Callithrix jacchus: one gene and its partner. The protein of the gene in region 1 purifies or fractionates together with the protein of each later gene. This does not show direct contact. Links are inferred from orthologs where the notes say so. Each region holds a gene or a part of one and is shown in the gene's direction. Other genes may lie near its edges.

What was found.
Region 2: the proteins of ALK (region 1) and SHC1 purify together in Homo sapiens (affinity purification with mass spectrometry; 3 studies listed by BioGRID and IntAct, with this or other methods). This does not show direct contact. The link is inferred for Callithrix jacchus from reciprocal best matches to the Homo sapiens genes ALK and SHC1.

The regions. Positions count from the first base shown.
Region 1 is NC_133515.1:85,091,407-85,102,202, forward strand, and holds the start of ALK (ALK tyrosine kinase receptor), read left to right. Parts: upstream 1-4,794; 5' UTR 4,795-5,725; coding exon 5,726-6,392; intron 6,393-10,796. UniProt on the Homo sapiens protein: Neuronal receptor tyrosine kinase that is essentially and transiently expressed in specific regions of the central and peripheral nervous systems and plays an important role in the genesis and differentiation of the nervous system.
Region 2 is NC_133519.1:15,379,812-15,390,591, reverse strand, and holds SHC1 (SHC-transforming protein 1), read left to right. Parts: upstream 1-4,783; 5' UTR 4,784-5,004; coding exon 5,005-5,499; intron 5,500-6,097; coding exon 6,098-6,168; intron 6,169-6,704; coding exon 6,705-6,768; intron 6,769-6,922; coding exon 6,923-7,042; intron 7,043-7,277; coding exon 7,278-7,331; intron 7,332-7,503; coding exon 7,504-7,555; intron 7,556-7,737; coding exon 7,738-7,864; intron 7,865-8,399; exon of another isoform or gene 8,400-9,000; coding exon 9,001-9,178; exon of another isoform or gene 9,179-9,256; coding exon 9,257-9,326; exon of another isoform or gene 9,327-9,407; coding exon of another isoform or gene 9,408-9,410; coding exon 9,411-9,542; exon of another isoform or gene 9,543-9,693; coding exon 9,694-10,106; downstream 10,107-10,780. Other genes in the region: CKS1B (cyclin-dependent kinases regulatory subunit 1), read right to left, coding at 485-543. UniProt on the Homo sapiens protein: Signaling adapter that couples activated growth factor receptors to signaling pathways. Participates in a signaling cascade initiated by activated KIT and KITLG/SCF.

The DNA.
Region 1 (10,796 bases):
TCTCTTCTCTCCCCCCTCTCTCTCTCCTCTCTCTCCTCTCTCTCTCTTCTCTCCTCTCTCTCTCTCTCCTCTCTCTCCTCTCTCCTCTCTCTCTCTCTCTCCTCTCTCTCCTCTCTCTCTCCTCTCTCCCCTCTCTCCCCTCTCTCTCCTCTCTCTCCCCTCTCTCCCCTCTCTCCCCTCTCTCTTCTCTCCCCCCTCTCTCTCTCCTCTCTCTCCTCTCTCTCTCTTCTCTCCTCTCTCTCTCTCCTTTCTCTCCTCTCTCCTCTCTCTCTCTCTCCCCTCTCTCTCCCCTCTCTCTCCTCTCTCCCCTCTCTCTCCTCTCTCTCCTCTCTCCTCTCTCCCCTCTCTCTCCTCTCTCTCCTCTCTCTCTCCCCTCTCCCCTCTCCTCTCTCTCCTCCCCTCTCTCCCCTCTCTCCCCTCTCTCCCCTCTCTCCTCTCTCTCTCCTCTCTCTCTCCCCTCTCTCCCCTCTCTCCCCTCTCTCCCCTCTCTCCCCTCTCTCCCCTCTCTCCCCTCTCTCCCCTCTCTCCCTTCTCTCCCCTCTCTCTCCTCTCTCTCCTCTCTCTCTCCCCTCTCTCCCCTCTCTCTCCTCCCCTCTCTCCCCTCTCTCCCCTCTCTCTCCTCTCTCTCCGGTGCCTGGGTACCTCAGACTTAATAGTTTGTTATTCAGGATCACTTCTTGGTCAATTCATCCATCCCAAGGCAGCCAGAAAGTGAAGGTTAGCTTGGTCACCATCAGGCCCATGTAACACATGGTTTCCCCAAGCCAGAATACAACTGTATCCTGTCCTCATTTTTGACATTTGACCATGATTACAGACTTGCTTTAGCTTAGCAAAGGTATGGGTACTTATGCGCTTAGGAATTTTCACATTTGCTATATTTCATTGTGACAACAACTTTGTCAGGAGATTATAGTCCACTTTTAAACAGGAGGAATAAGGCTAAGAGTTTAAAACTCTTGCCTAAGCCCAGAATACTAGCTACATTAAAAAAATAAAATTAATTCAATTAAGTAAAATGAACTTGAATGATAGATTTTATTTAACCTGATATACCCAAAATATTATCACTAAACATGTAATCAATATGAAAAGATACTAAGAAGAGATCTTATACATTTTTATACTAAATATTAGAAATGTGATGTATACTTTATACTTAGAGCCCATTTGAGTTTGGATTAGACATATTTAAAGTGTTCAATAGCCACATATGACTAATGGCTACTATATTGGACAGTTCAGGTCTACAGCATAAATCAGAGAATGAGACTTTCCACTAAAGTAGTGTCTTCTCATTGCTATTAAAATAAAATTCAAACTTGTTACCATGGCTTATCCAACAGTAGAAGATCTAGACCTTGGCTGCCCCTCCACCTTTCTGTCTTCTATTCACTGTGTTCCAACTAGATTGATTTCTTACTGTCTCCTGGACATGCAAACCTCTTCTCATCTCAGGACTATTGACATATGATAGTCCTTTGCTTAGAAAGTTTTCTCTCAAAGTCTTTTCATGATTGCCTCTTCCCACCAACCAGAACTTCATCTCACCTTAAAGAGGGCTTCTCCAACTATGAAGCTAGAGCTAGGGCTGCACCCGCACCTGCTGCCCCAAGTCATCATGTACTGCATGGCCCTATTTTGTTTTTATAGCACCTATTATTATCTTAAATTACTTTATGTGCTTGCACATTTATTATCTCTCTCCCATTGTTAAAGTGTAAGCTTCTTAAGGTGAAGGACCATTTATTTTTGTCCAGAGCAAAAAGCTGGAACATAGAACAACATCTTGCATACATTAGGTACGCGAGGAATCTCTGTTGACCAGCAAAATGCCTAACTTGATTGATCCCACAGGTCCCAGACAGATCCTGCAGTTGTGAGATGTGTTTTACCTTAAGTCACACTGCTTAAATTGTCATGTCATTTTTATTATTACTTCTCTTATAGAGAATTTGAGTACCTCCTTGACTGAGTTGTTCATTTTTCCTTTTCCCGGAATTGGGAATTTCCTGAGGAGGGTGTTGGTGGTCTCAGTGTCCTACTCTTGACCACTTCCTCTCTTGGTACATGGTCAACTCACATTCCTCCTCCCCCAGCCCAATGGCCCAAGTCATCTGCAAGGTGACTCAGAGCAGCCCACCTCACTTAATTGTCTCCTTGAAGATTCCGATATCTATGTCACTATCTATGTCTGCCTCTTCCACTCCACATCTTTTTGATTTGGACTTTCAGCTTCTTCTTCTGTTGATCTGGGCTCACCTCAACCCATCTTATCTCATCCCATTTTCGCTATTGTGAGGTTATGCAGAATTTAAAAGTGTGAACTTCTTAGCCAGGTATCCAGGTTCAGCTCTTGTTACCTGTGTAGTTTTGTTGTGGTGTTATCCTCCCTGAGCTTCTATTTGTGACCTGTAGAGTAAAGATACTATTACTTCTTCTCAGAGTGTTACTGGGAATACTAAGTGAGATAGTGAATGAAAGTGTTTTTGAAATAGACCATGATAAGTGTTAACTATCATTGCTCACACTTTTTATTTTTCTGTCTCTATTTCCCCTACATACTCTCAAATTCATTTTCCCATCTCCCATCCTCTTGATGGAAATTATATAGGATAGCATGCCAAAGTTTTAACTTTGGGCATGAGTTAAGGGCCTAATTATTCTTAGTGGGTTGTGTAATTGTTGGAGGAAAAGAGTTACTGGTTTGAATTTGAACTCTGTTATTTACTTGCTGTTTTACCTTGGGCAAATTATTTTGCCTCTCTGAGCCTTAGCTGTTTTATCTATGTAATAGACATAATAACATATACCCTTCCCCAAAAAAGCTGTGTGATGTGTTAGAATCCCACATATCTACAGATGCATGCATTAGTGCCTGGTAGACTATCAATATTAATTCCTGCCTCCTTTAAAACAATTATACAAAAAAGAAAATTTTTGAGATTTAGTGTGATTTAATCTACAGGAAAAGGCACCTTTTTTTCCTTGGGAAAAGTTTGAGAGAATGTATGAAAGCATAAGAATTAATGGAGACTGTTTATGAGGTGCAAAAGCAATGGACATGGACATTATCAGAGAATGTTAAACCCTGGCAGCTCACTTAAGGTTTCAAGTCTCTGCAGCCCCCTAGTGGCCATTGGGTGCAGCAGACGATTCACAGTTATTAACAAATTACTAGAGGCCTTTGGTCCAGAATTGTAGAGATAATTAGAGAGGGAAAGGCTGGAGTTTTAGTCTTTTTTTATATTTCAGATAAAAAATTCCTTTTCCAGTATGTATGTCAGAAAAATCTAATGAAAATTAAACATACCGTACATATAGGAAAGTATTAACTACAATAGCATTTTCTTCCCTCTTTTCTTTCTTTTCTTCCCTTCCTTTACCAAGATAGGAACATATTTTCTTCTCCTTGGGTGAGATAATTCGTTGCCCTAAAACTTATAAAGTCAATGTATCCAGTGTGAGTTCCAGAGAGAGGGAGGATGCTTGTCAAATTAAGTGAGTTGCCAAACATAGAGCAGGAAGAAAGCCATTCCGAGAATCAATATTCTTTAGTTACTGGGTCTTACACTTGCCAAAGGCAATGCCACAAAGCTGGAAAGAGCCCAGCTCCTGGGAGAACAGAGATTCCACTTGGCCACTATCTCCTGTGGGGTGAAAGGCAAGTTACTGCGGCCCCTAGGAGCTCAGTGAGGGAGGTTCAATGTGGCATTGTGCTCTGATTCTATGAGAAAACTCCTCTGCTACCTGCCTGGTGTGAGCTCCAGAGAGGATCTTGCCTTATTCTTAGCTCCAACAGCCAGCACAAGGCCTGACAATCAGCCTTCAAGAAGGAACCAAGGGTATTTGTGTGACCCAAAGACTGTGGTTTTGTCTGAGGATCTAGTGAACCACTTGTTATAAAAACAGCTATTATCTGAGTTGTGTGTTGAGGAGAGGTACAGCCTTTACAGTTGAGTAAAAAAGACCTAAGGTTCTGAACACTCATTCCCAAGATTGTTGGCAAGCCATTAAATGATCTGCAACTCAGTTTCTGCATCTGTAAAACTGGAATGAAAATATTCATCTTGCAAGGACTAGGGGAGGTTACACATGTTCAGACACCATTATGAGAAAACGGGGTGACTGACGGCGGCCTGAAATGTATTTGTAGCTGCAGAATAACTCTGCCAGACCATGACCATCCATCCGTCTCTGCCCCCTCTACTCGCAGATTCTCCTGTGTGGATGCGGGACTCCTAAGCTCCCAGGAATGCATTCGAATAGAAGGGTCAGAATGTTCTGTCTCAGGGCCTTATTACAAGCTGTTCTCAGATTTGCCAATGTCGCGCTGCCACCCCCTCCTCACTCCCTCCTCCCTTCCCCTCGCCTCCAGTTTAATTCTGGAACCTGTTTTTCCGAAGTCGGACCCATTTAATCTCTTAAATGCATAATTAGGGAGAGTGCTTGATTGCAAAGGCCTCTACCAGTTCTTGCATTTGCTCCCTTTCACACTGCAGAGAAATAGGGCAGCGAATCTGGAGGAAGGGAAGAACAAGAGACTGGAGAGGGACAGAGGGCGGGTGAGGCGGGCTCACTGCTTTTCTCAATGAATGCTGAGGCCGCTGCAGATTTGCATAGGAACCGACAGAGCCACGCCATTGGTTGGCGGCGCAGGTGGGGCGGGGCAAGGAGGGACTGCGTGGGTCGGGTGGCTCTCGGAGTCCGCTAGCGAGCCCCGCCCCTCTGGGCCCCGCCCCCTCCCGGCGCGCACTCGCGGCTCCGCCAGCTGCAAGTGGCGGGCGCCCAGGCAGATGCGATCCAGCGGCTCTGGGGGTGGCAGCGGCGGTAGCAGCTGGCACCTCCTGCCACCTCTGTTCGGAGGGTCGCGGGGCACCGAGGTGCCTTATAGCAGCCCTCTGGCCGGACACCCGAAGCCGCGGGAGCTGCTGATGGGTGAGGAGGGGGCGGCAAGATTTCGGGCGCTCCTGCCCTGAACGCTCTCCGCTGCTGCCGCCGGGCCGCTCCGGTGCCTGCGAACTCTGAGAAGCTGAGGCGCGGGCGAGAGCAAGGACGCTGCAAACTTGCGCAGCACGGGGGCTCGGATTCACGCCCAGAAGTTCGGCGGGTGGAGCAGTCCGAAACCTTCCTGCAGCAGTGGAGGGTAGCTTGAGGGTGCGCGAGAAGGCAGCAGCCCCCGCCCTCCGTTCCCGCCCAGACCCGGCAGAGGTGCTCAGAGGTGCCAGAAGGAACGCAGGGGCCGGCCAGGACAGTGTGCAGCAGCTAGGAGCACTGTTCTCAGCCCGGAAAGTTGCGAAGATTGGAGGCTGCCCCGAGAGGGGACCGAGCCCAGCTCTGACCGCGGGGGGCAGGAGAGGACGGTACCCAATTGCCACCTCCCTTCAACCATAGTAGTTCCTCTGTATCAAGCGCAGCGAGCTACAGACGGGGGCGCGGCACTCGGCACCGCGAGCCGGAGGCTCAGGGTCCCAGCCCGTGAGCCCAGCGTGCTTGAGGGTCTCTGGACTCGCCCCTGAGCTTCCAGCTCTGTTTCATTGAGACTCCAGCTCCCCTCCGTGCAGTTGAGGGAAAGCAAGAGACTCGCGTGCACGCAGGGACCTCTGAAGATCTGGTGGAAGGAGCCGCTGAGTACCAAGGACTGTTCAGAGCGTCTTCCTATCTGGGGGACTGCGAAGGGCGAGGCTGGGCCCAGAGAGCAGTGTAAACGGCCCCCTCCGGCGGGATGGGAGCCATCGGGCTCCTGTGGCTACTGCCGCTGCTGCTTTCCACCGCAGCTTTGGGGTCCGGGATGGGGGTGGGCCAGCGCTTGGGGTCCCCAGCTGCGGGGCTGCAGCTGCAGCCCCGGGAGCCACTCAGCTACTCGCGCCTGCAGAGGAAGAGTCTGGCAGTGGACTTCGTGGTGCCCTCGCTCTTCCGTGTCTACGCCCGGGACCTGCTGCTGCCGCCATCCCCCTCGGAGCTGAAGGCTGGAAGGCCAGAGGCACGAGGCTCGCTAGCGTTGGACTGCGCCCCACTGCTCAGGCTGCTGGGGCCGCCCCCCGGGGTCTCCTGGACTTGGGGCTCACCCGCCCCGGCAGAGGCCCGGACGCTGTCCAGGGTGCTGAAGGGCGGCTCCGTGCGCAAGCTCCGGCGCGCCAAGCAGCTGGTGTTGGAGCTGGGCGAGGAGGCGATCCTGGAGGGTTGCGTTGGGCCCCCGGGGGAGGCGACTGCGGGGCTGCTCCAGTTCAACCTCAGCGAGCTGTTCAGTTGGTGGATTCGCCAGGGCGAAGGGCGACTGAGAATCCGGCTGATGCCCGAGAAGAAGGCGTCGGAAGTGGGCAGAGAGGGAAGGCTGTCCGCGGCAATCCGCGCCTCCCAGCCCCGCCTTCTCTTCCAGATCTTCGGGACTGGTGAGCAGCTCCCGACTGAGCGTGCCGGGATTTAGTGTTTTTATTCACACTGATATGTAACCATTAAGTAATCCCACTTACTAAAAACCTCAGCTTCTACTTCTTAGCCCTACTTCCTCCTGCAAACCTCCTTCCTGAGTCAGACTGCAGTTTCTTGTTTTCTCCCTGAACGCAGTTCAGGGGTCTTACTTCCTCTTTAGCAACCAAGTTGGGAGAAAAGTTTCCTACTCTTGGCAGAGCGCCTTATTCTCTGGACTTAACACGTGGTCTGAGCCAAAATTGGGTGCCCCTCTTACTGGGTCCCTGGGACAGTTGAAATGCCCCTATTACTTCTAGGTTCCAAGCTTAGCAGTAGATGTCAAAGCTGTTGCCCTTCTCTCCCCCTTGTTCCTGGCCAGCACGGATTTGGGAAATATGATACGTCTTCTCAGGGAATATAGAATTTCTCTTTATGTTATTGAATCTCACCCAACTGCCCCCCTCTCAAATGTTGGCTTGGGCAGAGATTGCCAGGGATTGTCTCTTCTTTATTAATTCATTCTTCCCTCTCTCACCCCTAGCCAGTGTGCTGTGCACTCTCAGACTCATCCTTTTTCTTACATGTTGCTGGGAAACACCCAGAGAAACTAAGGAACAGAGGACTGGAGGGAGATGTGGAAGAAGGGAAGAAAGTTGTCAAGATTATCTTCCTTTGGAAGAGTCACTATGAAGCTAGGGAGAAGCAATCATTGGTTTTCCTGCTTTTCTTACCTTTTCCCCCCTCCTCTGTTCCCCTCTGATTCTTAGCTTGAATGTCTGCAGCAGCAGCTCTTGATGATAGTCGGTGGCAGGCTTGTTTCACTGCAGATCTCCCTGATGGAGACTCCTAAAATGACATTTTTCAGTTTCATTTACTCCGTCATTTCTTCCCATATTCACTGAGTTGGGTGTGTGTGTGCAGACACTTACTTCTAACTCTTTCCAGAGTATCCTTTGACTGGAAAACCAGGTAGTTTTTAATGGATGTTTTTCTTGTAAGACAAATGGGGAAAGACATGTGAATAAAATATACAATGTAAATGAATGAGAAAGGCACAGAAAAGAAATCAGGCTTTTAAAAAGCCTACACAAATTCCATTGAGCAAACCGAGCTCCTTTTCTATCATTCTCATCATCAGAAATAAATGAAGTTCTTATGCTCCACTGGCTACTAATGTCTAGAATTAATTGGATGGAGAGCCATGAAAGGGGTCCATTGTAGAGCTACAAGTATCTTGCATTCTTGTTCCAACACACACACACACACACACACGTGCACTCTCATGCAGCAAGGATATTCAGAAGCTGAGGTTCCCTAGACATTGCACAGAAAACATACTAGTATGTCATTCCCAAGAAAAACAGAGTGCAGATCCATATTTCAGCCTTAGTGTTAGTGGCACTGGCACCTAAAGGGAGCCCTTTCTGTTTAGTGCTGGAATTTATAGAGTCCATCCTAAAAGGCACCGATGAGTCTGATAGTGCCTTTGATGAACTGAGATGGAAGACTGTGACTGTTGTTCCACCAAAGATATTTTTGTAAAGAACAGCTGGGCTTTAATGTCATTGTGGCTTGTGTGGTTTACACATGCAACATTCTGTTTTAGTGCCCAATGTTTTAGTAATGAATATAAAATTGACTTCTCTGGAAATGCAGATTATCTTCTAATTTCATGCCTATGAGCATCTCTGGAGCTTCCCCATTGCCTTTTTTCAAATGACCATAGAATTCAGCAGTCTATATCAGCTGTTGTCAGATGTTGGTGACAGGTAAAAGGGCTCATTTCTACATCCCCAAACCTGCCTACTGTAAACAGGTAGGTTGCATGAAGACATCAGTGGCTGTCTCTGAAGAGTCACATGCTTAATGCCTTTGAAAAATATGCTATACTCAAGTCTTAAATAAGGAGTTGGAGCTGCCGAGTGGGGAGGTTTATGTAGAAAGGCATGTGCTCCAAGGGCTTCTCTGCTATTGGCTGTAGGGAAGCACTGTGGGCATCCTATGCCCTCCCTTAAGGGCCCAGTACATTTGGCAGCTGGACCAAGCCCTTATGCATCACTGACACATCTAGGAATGCTGGTTTCAGTAGGAGCCAGGATTCTGCCATTAAAAGGCTAGAAACTTTGGCCAAGCATTTTTCAGCAGGATTGGGATCAAATGATTATTGATAGGATCAAACAAGACACTAAGTGTAGCTGGATGAGCTCCCTGTGACCTCCAGAGAGACAGACAACCTATTGAAAAGCACTTCAGGCCTTGTAGTGACCACACTTGGAACAGCCTGGTCTCTCCTAACTCTGAGGACATATGCTGTCTGCAGTTAGGCAGCTGGCCATGCAGGACTAGCCTCTCTCATGTTGTCATTGCCTCCCCAAACTCATTCAGTTGTAGTCTCCACTGCAGACATCCCCATGGAGTAGACACACCCTGTTATACCGTGTTCTGTATTTCGGACAACATATATCATAATGGTTCCATTCATTTTTCTTATGAAAATTCAAGCTTAGGTTCTGACACTGGGATTGATTTTGCTGTTTATCATGTTTGGAGAAATGGATTTATTGTTTTTATATAGGCTCTTATTTATAGAAAAGGCATTTAACTCTTCTATGATGTGGGCTCTTCAATTATACAGAGGGAAAGTAGACACAACTCTGCTTATTTCTTCCTGTGTCTGTCTAAGTGACTTGTGGTCTTGTTTGGAGGTACACAATGATGCTAATGGGGCTATCTGTGGGGAGGAAAGAGCTGGTTGCTCTTCCATCTCTTGTGGTGAGAGGCCTGGAGCAGCCCATTTGGCTCAGACCAAAGACAGCTTCCTAAACCTGAGCAGGACCATGACTAAAATAGCAACAATGAAAAAGCACCAGTTAGAAGAAAGCAAAACCTTTGCATTGTTTGTGATTTGGACTGTCTGAGAAGACAAGATGTCTGAGAGGCCTTGTAATGCATGAAATGCTAATGGCTTTTCTTTGTTGGTTGCTGTGAATTCATAAATGGGATGAGCCTTTCAAGTCGGAGGCAGTTCCAAAATGCACCCAGTCATGGAGAAGAGGTGAAGAGGCAGTTTCTGGGACTGTATTTAATAGTCCTGGCCTCTCCCAGGACAGCCCAAATCATGGAAAAGATATCTGTCTGCAAGGCTGACATGTTGCCCACAGCTGCAGTTTGTATCCTGCCTTACAGGTATTTTGAGATCTGTTTCTGTCGTCACCCAGGCAGAGGGCTAGGGGATGATGACTCATGGGGATAGGAGGCCTATTTCCCTGTAAGCACTCTCTCCCTACTCCAGGAAAGTGGATACATGACTTGGGATTTTACATGTAATATGGAGAGGCCTGAGCAATTTAGAGATGAATGCAGTGCAATATACCCTGATCTTGACTCCCCATATCTGTCAGTCCCTTCCCATTTCACTTCTGGGGTGGGCAGAGACAGAAAAAAAAAAAAAAGAGAGAGGAAATTAGAGCTCCCAGAAGGGATATCAGTTATTGGAGGTGAATTGAGAGAATTGGAACTAGTCCAGAGAAGAGCAGAGAGCCGATTTAACAGTTGAAGGGACTGATTTATGATGAAAGATGAAAAGAATTAAATATATATGGCTGGGCTAAATGGCAGTGAAGGGAGAGCCATGGTAACAATCTATGAATCTCTGAAGAGAGTGAATGGCAGTGAAGGAGAGGAGTTATTTAGCCTGGCCCATGGAAGTAATTGGATCAGACTTGCAGAAGGAAACTTTGGGTTGGATATCAGGGAAAGCTTGTTTTCTGACATTGATACCCCTCTGATTAGGGAATGGAGTTCCAAGGGAGCAGGGAGTCAGGTGAGATATGGGTCAGACAAGCCCCAGCTTTCCTAATTAATCAGTTCTATATTTTCAAATATTGAGAAGCCATAACAAGACAGAGAGCTGGGATGGAGAATGGAAGAAGGAATCAGAACCTTTTATGATCCAAATCCTGAGAGCCTTTGGGCATTGGTGTTTTTAGAGGAAAAAAAAGAATTGCATATACATCTTTGAAGTTAGTGAGAAGCACTTACAAAAAAATTGTTAATGACAAATATTTTAAAATTACTCAGTTGATTCTTCCCTGCCCTCCAATTAAACATAGACTATTTCTCTGGGGTGTGATCTGTATATCCAGGGGTTTGGGAGGCACACTTACCAGAGAATTATGTATCTAAGATACATCTATGGGTGTGTGTATGTGACAGCATCACTGAGCAGGGCAGAAAGTGACCTGTGTCTTGAGAAGATGCCATCAGTTCTAGATTTGGTGGACTCCTACTGGCTACTTAAAAATCCCTTGAAATGTTGAGAATCTATAATGCCATTTGAAAGATGAAGTTCATCCATGTTCAATTTAACATTTCAAAAATCTTCA
Region 2 (10,780 bases), on another chromosome or scaffold:
CTAACACAGGCCAACCACGCCCCTTGTCTTTTTCACGAGTTAATAAGCAATATTCAGCTCTCTCAGCGCTACTCTCGCATTAGGGACGCGAGGAAACTTCCGGCTCCGCTTTTGCTACGTTCTCCCACTAGATTCCACAGGATTACTGTGAAACAAGCAGTCTCCACAAGGCAAGTTAATTTGCCCAATAAAGTTCAGAGAAAGATCCAGAAACCCTCCGGGGTGAGGGTGGTCAGTACTTTAACCACGCCCACTCCTCCCTCCTTTCAACTGAGGACCGACTCCAAATTCGCAACCACTTTGTTTTACGAGTGCCTCCCATCTCCGCGCATGCGCTTCACGCCTTCCACCAATCTCACACCCTAGCCTGTTCACATTTCGTACGCATGCGCCAATTCTATCGCCACGGTTCCAGTTACTAATTCCTTGTAATCTCAATGGTTAAAGTTTACGACGTCGCTATTGCCCCCGCGCCAGCACTAACCGATACTCAAACTCCTCGTCGTCGTATTTGTCCGAATAGTAAATTTGTTTGTGCGACATGATCGCTCCGTCTGCTAGCCTTCAGTCCCGCGCCGCCAACCTCCAAGCAACTCCCAGCAGCACGCGCTCCCACCCACTTTGGCCTCGCTTTCAAACACGCCGCCCGCACTTCCTATTGGTCTGTTTGGCTCAAGGCGGGACAGCTCCACCTTCAAGCTTCCGATTGGCTTAGATTTGCTTATCCTCGAGTCCTTATTGGAGGGCAGTTCCTACGTTTCTCAAGAACGAGCGTGGGTCAAAAGTAGCCCTCTTATTGGCCACCACTGCCTCCGTGCGTGATCTCGCGTTACCATTGGCTGACTCGGGAAAGTGGGAAGCGTGAAGGAGGGAACCTGAGGTAGAGGGTCAGGGGTTAGTGAGGCCGGAAGTGAGTGTAATAAAGTTTCTCCGGGGAGGCAGGGCCCGGGGAGAAAGTTGGAGCGGTAACCTAAGCTGGCAGTGGTGTGATCCGGAACCAAATCGGCCCGCGGTGCGGTGCGGAGACTCCATGAGGCCCTGGTGAGTCTTGATTTTTTTCTCCTTAGGTTACCCACTCTTCTACCCCGGAACCCCTCTCACGGGACCCCACTTCCGGTCTTCATTTATAAGTCCCGCCCCCTGAGACCCCTCTCCCCGGAAGTCCCACCTCCCAACTTCGGGGTGCTCCCCCGAACCCCCACTTGATTTTTACTGTCTGTCTCCGACCCCACCCTGTCACCCAGTTTTCCTGGAAGCCCCACCCCCAGACACGTTCCAAGCCCTTGTACGAGAAATCCTTCGTTATTCCTTCCATTCTCCGAAACTCCGCCTCCTAGCAAGGATCCTCCGCTAACTCCTGTCAAAAAGACTATCTCCCTAAAGGGCAAAACCCTGCTCCTCAAAGAACGAGATTCGAATTTGTTGAAGCCACGCCTATCCAGGGCCCCGCCCCTCTGAGACCACGCCCCTTCTGTAATCTACATCTGACTGTCCAGAAAGCCTCCCTGCTTAGAAGTCTAATGCTCTAGTCCTAGGGGACCACGCCCCCTTGGTAGTTTTATCTTTGTGGGACCTAGATCCTCAACTGAAAAGCCTTGATTTCAATCCCTGAAACTCCACCTGTTTATATTTCCCTGTCCTTTCTCTTTTTTGGGGGCCTTGGGATCAGTTTTCCGAGCACTCTTCTGCTCCCCCAAGTGGGAAGTCAAAATTCCCATCTCTGGCTGTGAGGCATAAGATTAAAGGCAGCCGTTTTCCTCTCTTTTTTTTTTTTTTTTTTTGAGACGGAGTTTCGCTCTTGTTGCCCAGGCTGGAGTGCAATGGTGCGATCTCGTCGCAACCTCTACCTCCCGGGTTCAAGTGATTCTCCTCCCTCAGCTTCCCGAGTAGCTAGGATTACAGGCACCCGACACCATGCTCGGCTAATTTTTGTATTTTTAGTAGAGACGGGCTTTCACCATGTTGGCCAAGCTAGTCTCGAACTCCTGATCCACCCGCCTTGGCCTCCTTAAGTGCTGGGATTACAGGCGTGAGCCACCGCGCCTGTTTTCCCCTTTCTTAACTTCCTCTAAGGGTAGAGCTATTTGAAGGGGCTGAACTTGGGGTTTGGCATGAGAGGGAGAGAGACTTGCTCTCAAGACTCCCAGCCTCACTTCCTGGCTTTCCCTTCCTAGGACCAACTCCACCCCAGAAATAGCTCTAGGCTTTACCTATACATCAGTGGATAGGACCATGGATTTGTTGGTGTGTGGCATGTGGGTGTGACAGGAGTGAAAGTTTTCTACTACCAGAAAAACGGTGGTTTGGAGTGGCAGTAGATAATATACTCTTTTTGTTTGATTTTTTTTTTAAGGGACAGTTCAGTCGCTACTTCTCTGTCTCTTCCCCTCCCCCTAATCAGAGATCTTTTCTGGGCATTCCTCCTGGTCCCGTGTGCCCAGCCTTCTCTGCTGGAAACATTCCTGAGGCTTTCGCCATTTCCTGCTACTTCCCGCTCCTCTCCCCTCCTCCCAGTTGGGCTGAGAAGCCACACACAGCTTTTCCCCTACACCCAATCACCTGGACTTCCAGTAGGCAATCTTCTTTCTCCCTATGCAAATTTAAAGAGTTATACTTCTTTCTTTTCTTCTAAACGCCCACACCCATCGGTCATTTTCTGGCTCTGGATACTGCAAGCTCCCACAGAATATCATCTCCACAGATGAGGACATCCTAGTGTGTGTTTGTGTGTTTTGGGGGTGTGAGGCTATGGTGGAATCCTTTCCTCATTCTCTCTATGCCTGAGAGATGGCTGGAAATGAAGTGATAAAATTCCTTCTCAGGATTAGCTGACAGAGTGACAAAGCTCTCCTGGAATGAGCACTAAGTGGAGATGTAAGAGTTAAGTGACCGGGCACGGTGGTACATGCCTGTAAACCCAGCACTTTGGGAGGCTGACAAGGGCAGATCACGAGGTCAGGAGCTCGAGACCATTCTGGCTAATGCGGTGAAACCCCATCCCTACTAAAAATACAAAAAATTAGCCTGGCGTGGTGGCATGGGCCTGTAGTCCCAGCTACTCAGGAGGCTGAGGCAGGAGAATTGATTGAGCCCGGGAGTTGGAGGTTGCAGTAAGCCAAGATCATGCCACTGCACTCCAGCCTGGGGGACAGATCGAAAAGCAAAACCCTGTCTCAAAAAAAAAAAAAAAAAAAAAAAAAAAAAGTTAAGCACAGTATCTAACACACTTTAAGTGTTAATGTTGTTAATCAGGATAATCATATTATATATATAAATCCACAAGTAAATCTAAGGGTAATTCCAAGGTGAGCTTGAGATGATATGTATCTTTTTTTTTGTTTGTTTTGGAGGTGGAGTTTCACTCTTGTCACCCAGGCTGGAGTGCAGTGGCTTGATCTCGGCTCACTGCAACTTCCACCTCCTGGGTTCAAGCAATTCTCCTGCCTCAGCCTCCAGAGCTGGGATTACAGGTACCTGCCACCATTTCCAGGTAATTTTTTGTATTTTTAGTAGAGACAGGGTTTCACCATGTTAACCAGGCTGGTCTCGAACTCCTGACTTCAGGTGATCCACCTGCCTCAGCCTCCCAAAGTGCTGGGATTACAGGCGTGAGCCACTGCACCTGGTGGGAATATGTATCTTTAACTTGTTTTTTTGGTCACTTTCCAGCTTTCCTATGGCATTCTCCAGAAGAGCAGTGGCAGGAAGCCGTGGGTGGCGGGAATGGGATTGGGACTGTTCCCTGTGCCAGCTTCAGCCCGTCTTCTCCTGACATCCCTTTGTCCTGTACTTATTTTTTCTCCTGTCCTTATTGACATGGATGCGTCTTCTGATCTCTCTGTCCTTTCCTGGCGTGTAGCTTCTATGTCTCTTGGAGAACTGTTTCTTCTTTCAGCCAGGCTCCTTCCCAGGTGTGAGGGACACTGTACTCTTTGGTGGGGCTTAGGGCCCTGTAAGAGCAGGGATATGAAGTGGGGTGGTTTGGAGTGGGTGTGGGGACCTGAGGCCTCATTCTCACCCTTGACAATGTACTGTGTTAAGCCTGTGGAAAGGGGAGACTGGATAGTGCTTGGCTGTGAGCCATAGCTCTTTGGTGTGGTAGATGCCGCGCATAGAGAACAAGCTGTGACCAGCATGTCCTCTTGTTCACTTCTTGCCTGGTAGCTTCCTGATGTACCATCCAGGTTGGACTTTATTCCCTGATTTTCACCAGCTTTGCTCTTCCTCTTGACCCTGCTCTGCATCCATTGGGACCACTTCCTTCCCATCCCCACTTCGCTAGCTCCAGTCCACAGCTGTTGTAGCAGAGGATGCTAATGGCCCAGGCTCACTGTATGTGGTAGTGGTGCGGGGTGGCCTGGGCTCGAGAATGGGGGAATTCTAGTGTTCAACCAGGACAGGAAGGGAAATGCTGAGCTCTGAGATCTCCTCCCTTTTCCACCCCCAGTTGCCTCCGTTTCCTCCCTCATTCCTCTCTACTCTCGCCTGGCTTCCTGGCCCCTTTGGTCTGCCTGTGTCCGGTTTCCAGTGACCCGCACCTCCTCTTATCTCCCTCCTTTCCGTCTTATTTCTCCATCCTCTCCTCCCACCCCCCACTTTACTCCTCCCCAGATTACTAGTTGTTTGTATAGGGCTGGGGAGAGTTCGAGGTTGGGGCAGGGTGGGGCTCAGCCCCTCTGAGCCTGTGAGTCAGCACTGTCCTCCGGATTGGTCTCTCTCCTTAGCTCCCCGCCCCCAGGGAGGAGCCAGGCAGCTCTGGGTCCAGCCTGTTCTCTTCTCAGCCAGAGAAGAGGCTCCACGTTGGGCGGGGATGGGGCCTGAAACTGTCTGGGTCTGAGCTGGGGAGCGGAACCCACTTGTCCCTCTCCCTCCCCAGGACTTCTGTGACTCCTGGGCCACAGAGGTCCGACCAGGCTAAGGGCCTGGGGATACCCTCTGCCTGGCCCCCTTGCCCAAACTGGCAGGGGGGCCAGGCCGGGCAGCAGCCCCTTTCTCACCTCAGCTATGGATCTCCTGCCCCCTAAGCCCAAGTACAATCCACTCCGGAATGAGTCTCTGTCATCGCTGGAGGAGGGGGCTTCAGGGTCCACCCCCCCGGAGGAGCTGCCTTCCCCATCAGCCTCATCCCTGGGACCCATCCTGCCTCCTCTGCCTGGGGACGATAGTCCCACTACCCTGTGCTCCTTCTTCCCGCGGATGAGCAACCTGAGGCTCGCCAATCCGGCTGGGGGGCGCCCCGGGCCTAAGGGGGAGCCAGGAAGGGCAGCCGATGATGGGGAGGGGATCGTAGGGGCAGCCATGCCAGACTCAGGCCCCCTACCCCTCCTCCAGGACATGAACAAGCTGAGTGGAGGCGGCGGGCGCAGGACTCGGGTGGAAGGGGGCCAGCTGGGGGGCGAGGAGTGGACCCGCCACGGGAGCTTTGTCAATAAGCCCACACGGGGCTGGCTGCATCCCAACGACAAAGTCATGGGACCCGGGGTTTGCTACTTGGTTCGGGTGAGTGAACATTCTCTCTTCCACTCCCTCCCAGCCCCCGCCCCCCCCCCCCCCCCAGTTCTGCTCACTCCAGCTTGGCTGGAATCTCTTTTCTCCTGCTGTTCTACAACCCCGTTTCAGTGTCCTATTTCCTAAACCTTTCCCATCCCTTCCCTGATTCTGTAGTCCCTTCCCTTCCAGCTCTGCCTGAGCCCCCTTCCTTCTTTTGACTCCCCCACCCCCACCTCTACCCTGCCATGCTTAGCACAATGCCCAGCATGGCAGAAGCTCTTAGTAAGTGTTGGAATGAGTGACTTATTGATCCTCCCCTCCATTCTCCTCCTGCTTTCTGGAGTTGTCACTCCATCCCAGCCAATGCCTGTCGGTCCCCTCCAAACTCTCTCCCCAGTGCGAGGTCCTTCTTTCTAGCCTGCCTTTCTTTCTCTCCTCATTCCCTGTTGTCTTTCACCTTGATTGTGGGATGTAGCCACGGGAAGTGGGCAGAACCTCTCCATCTCTACTTCCCTTAAGGACCATGTGGGCAAAGTCCTAGGGCCCTTTGTGAAGGGGCTGGGGTGGGGGAGCTGCTGACCTGCTGTCCTCCCCTCCTTCCGCTTAGTACATGGGCTGTGTGGAGGTCCTGCAGTCAATGCGTGCCCTGGACTTCAACACCCGGACTCAGGTCACCAGGTTAGTGGGGAGGGAGTGGATTGGGGGAGTCCCGGGGTTAGTGAGGCCACAGGAAAGGGAGGAGGGGAGTGGTCACTTGAGTGCTGCTGGTGGGGGCTGATCTTTGGGTAGTGGAGGGGATTGAGAGAAAGCTGGTGGTAATTCTGTATCTTACTGAAAGGAGGCCCCTCTGGCCTGGATCCTCCTTACCTATCCATCCTTGGGAGTTGTGGGGAAGGTGGCAGAAGCAGCTGGCAGGTAGAGCTGGAGTAGAAAATGGGGGTAGATGGAAGGTTGCTGCTGCCTTTGGGAAGGGAATGGGACATTTGGTAGCTGGAAGTGGGTGGGTCTGTACCCATTGAGGCCCTAACCCAATCAGCCAGGAAGCGGCCTCTCAGTGTCATCAAATATTAAAGGCCCTTAATTCAATCCACCACGACAAAGAGCCTGGAGTGCCCTGGGAGTCTGGCCTGGCTTTCCCCTCCCCCAGCCCTGTGGCAGCCCCAGCTGAGTGGGAAGCAGGCAGGCACTGGGTCTGAGTACCCCTCTTTCCCCAGGGAGGCCATCAGTCTGGTGTGTGAGGCTGTGCCGGGTGCTAAGGGGGCGACAAGGAGGAGAAAGGTATCTGGGGTCCTTGGGGATAGGGATGCAGCTGGGAGATGTGAGGGGCAGGGGGAAGGCAAGTGTGGGGCATGTGGGGGAAGGCCAGAAGGCAAGAGTGTGGTTTGCCGGAGCTGGGAACCCTCACCTTCTGAGACCCTGGGCCCTACCTTAGCCCTGTAGCCGCCCGCTCAGCTCTATCCTGGGAAGGAGTAACCTGAAATTTGCTGGGATGCCAATCACTCTCACCATCTCCACCAGCAGCCTCAACCTCATGGCCGCAGACTGCAAGCAGGTTGGTGGAGTTGGGCAGGGGGACTAGAAACACTGGTGGGGGTGCTAAGGGGAGATCTAGTTAGGAGGCCAAAAACTAGGAAGAGGGCTTGAGAGCAAGAGACCAGTAGGGACGGAGGAAGTGAGGATATGGGATAAGGAACCCAGAGAATGAAACTGGGTGTGAGGGTTCTGGGCCCTGAGGCGCCTGACGCATGGCATTCCCTTCCTTCTTCATCCCCTGCCCTGATTCTCAGATCATCGCCAACCACCACATGCAATCTATCTCATTTGCATCCGGCGGGGATCCGGTGAGTTGGGGAACAGAGCAAAGGTGGCGGGAGAAGAGCAAGGGGCTAGGGATTGGGAAGACATTTATTAGAGAAGTGGGGGTGCTAGGATTGTGGGGATATCTGAAAAGGACGGGGTTTTAGGGGTTAGGAGTAAAGTGGAGCTGTAACATTTTCTGACCTTCCTCCCCAGGACACAGCCGAGTATGTCGCCTATGTTGCCAAAGACCCTGTGAATCAGAGAGGTGAGGCATGGTGGGGAGCACTGGGTGGGTCCGGCTGTTTGAGGAGATGAGCGGGACCTGGGGTCTGCACCCGCTTTTGCTAAGTAGAGCTAAGTAGGGGTTCCTGCTGAGGAAGATGAGGGCCCTGTCTATGCCTCCTCCCAGTGGGCTCAGCTCAATGACCGCCTCTGCTGTGCCCTCAGCCTGCCACATTCTGGAGTGTCCTGAAGGGCTTGCCCAGGATGTCATCAGCACCATTGGTCAGGCCTTCGAGTTGCGCTTCAAACAATACCTCAGGAACCCACCCAAACTGGTCACCCCCCATGACAGGTGAGCAGGTGGGGAGGATGTGCAGCAGCTCTTAAGCCCCAGAACAGGATTGGGAAAGGAGGGCTGCTCTTCCTACACTTGAGCTGAGAGGCTTAGGGAGGGAATAACCTGCGTGCCTCTGCTTCCCCCTTCCTGTGATTCTTCCATTTCCTGTGGCCCACAAGGAAAGACTCTTGAGGCCCTGCTTGCTGCAGGGCCAGCTTTTCCTCCTGTTGCTCATGGTGGAGCTGCAGTCTGAGGCATCCAAGTTACATCTCTCTCTCTGGCTAGATGAGATTTTTCTACTCCCATCCCTCTTGCTTGCCCATTTCTCTGACACTCTGTATTTTAATGCTTCCAGAAGCCATCAAGAATTTGGGTTTGTGAGGATATCTCTTTTCCCTGAGATTAGTGTTTCCCACCTCTGGCCGTGAGGGATAAGCAGTGGCGCCAGGAGGGACTGATTAGGAGAGGTTAAACTATTCTGTAGTGCCTTCTCCCCACCTCACTACATAATGCTTCCCTTCCTTGCTGGCAGATAGCACAGTGATCAAGGGCAAGAGCATTACTTTTTTATTTTGAGACAGAATCTTGCTGTGTTGCCCAAGCTGGAGTTCAGTGGTGTAATCACACAACTCACTGCAGCCTCCATATCCTGGGCTGAGTGATTCTCCCACCTCAGCCTCCTGAGTAGCTGGGACTACAGGTGCATGCCACCACACCTGGCTAAGTATTATTATTTTTTTGGTAGAGGCAGTCTCACTACGTTGCCCTGTCTGGTCTTGAACTCCTAGGCTCAAACAACCTCCCTCCTTGGCCTCCCAAAGTGTTGGGATTACAGGTATGAGCCATTGCACCTGCCCAAGGGCATAAGCTTTAAAGTCAAACCTGAATTTAAATCTGAGTCTGTCACCTTTTAGTTGTGAGACCTTGGGCAAATCTTTTCACCACTGATCCTCATTTGCCTCATCTGTAAAACTAGGAAAGAAAACAATACCTATCTTATGGGGTTGCCAGGAGAATGAAATGATTAGGTATATAACACACTCAGCCTCAGGCCTAACCCATAGTAAATACCGAATACATGGCTGCTGTTCCGTTCCCTCCTCCTGCCCACCACACATTTACGGCCACACCTTCACTGTCCTGTCTCTCAGGATGGCTGGCTTTGATGGCTCAGCTTGGGATGAGGAGGAGGAAGAGCCACCTGACCATCAGTACTATAATGACTTCCCGGGGAAGGAACCCCCTCTTGGGGGGGTAGTAGACATGAGGCTTCGGGAAGGAGCCACTCCGCCCACTGCCCAGACCCCCAGCCACTTGGGAGCTACACTGGTAAGTTGTTTGGATGGAGGCCTAGGGTGGGAGTGGCTGGTTAGGGCCTCTGGTTCCACCTTATTTTCATCCTTGCAGCCTATAGGACAGCCTGTTGGAGGAGATCCAGAAGTCCGCAAACAGATGCCACTTCCACCACCCTGTCCAGGTATGAAGGGAGCCGAGATGGGCAGAGCTGGGGAGTCCTGGAGGCAGGACCGGGATCACTGTACAGCCTCCCTTTCCTCAGCAGGCAGAGAGCTCTTTGATGATCCCTCCTACGTCAACGTCCAGAACCTAGACAAGGCCCGGCAAGCAGGGGGTGGTGCTGGGCCCCCCAATCCTGCCATCAATGGCAGTGCGCCCCGGGACCTATTTGACATGAGTGAGTGCTCCTCTCTCCTCTCTGCATCCCTATCTTCCTACTTGGTTCTGGCCCTTCCCCTGCCTATATCTGCTCTTTCCTTCCCTGAAGTCTGGGTCTTGGGTGTGTATTGTGCCTGCTACCTCCCCTCACCCTCTCTCTACACCTCCAGAGCCCTTTGAAGATGCTCTTCGGGTGCCTCCACCTCCCCAGTCGGTCACCATGGCTGAGCAGCTCCGAGGGGAGCCCTGGTTCCATGGGAAGCTGAGCCGGCGGGAGGCTGAGGCACTGCTGCAGCTCAACGGGGACTTCCTGGTGCGGGAGAGCACGACCACACCTGGCCAGTATGTGCTCACTGGCTTGCAGAGTGGGCAGCCCAAGCATCTGCTACTGGTGGACCCTGAGGGTGTGGTGAGTATGGCAGAGGTGAGGGTGAGGGGTGGCAGAAAGGAAGGTACAGTACCCTACAGTGCATTCTTGTTCCTTCCCCCATTGCTTTCTAGACATTTCCTGCTGGGCAGCTCTCTGTGGGCCTCTCTGCTCTTCAAGGTGTCTGGCATCTTCCTCCAGGGGCTTATCCCTTAGCCTGAACTGTGTCCTTTATAGTCCTGGCACAGGGCCAGGCATGGTGGCTCACGCCTATAATCCCAGCACTTTGGGAGGCCAAGGTGGGCAGATCACTTGAGGTTAGGAATTTGAGTCCAGCCTGGCCAACATGGTGAAACCCAGTCTCTAGTAAAAATATAAAGATTGGTCAGGCACAGTGGCTCACGCCTGTAATCCCAGCACTTTGGGAGGCTGAGGTGGGTGAATTACCTGAGGTCAGGAGTTTTGAGACCAGCCTGACCAATATGCTGAAACCCTGTCTCTACTAAAAATACAAAAACTAGCCGGGTGTGGTAGCCTGTACCTGTAGTCCCAGCTACTTGGGAGGCTGAGGCAGGAGAATCGCTTGAACCAGGGAGGTGTAGGTTGCAGTGAACTGAGGTGACACATTGAGGCTCTGTCTCAAAAAAAACAAAACAAAACAAAACAAAAACCTGTGTGTGGTGGCACACAGCTGTAATCTCAGCTACTCAGGAGGCTGAAGCAGGAGAATGGCTTGAACCGGGAGGTGGAGGTTGTAGTGAGCTGAGATCACACTGCTGCACTCCAGCCTAGACAACAGAGTGAGATTCTGCCTAAAAAAACAAAACAAAACAAAATAAATACAGCCCTGGCTCCTCCTCAAATCTCCAAGCCGTAAGCTTATCAGAGCT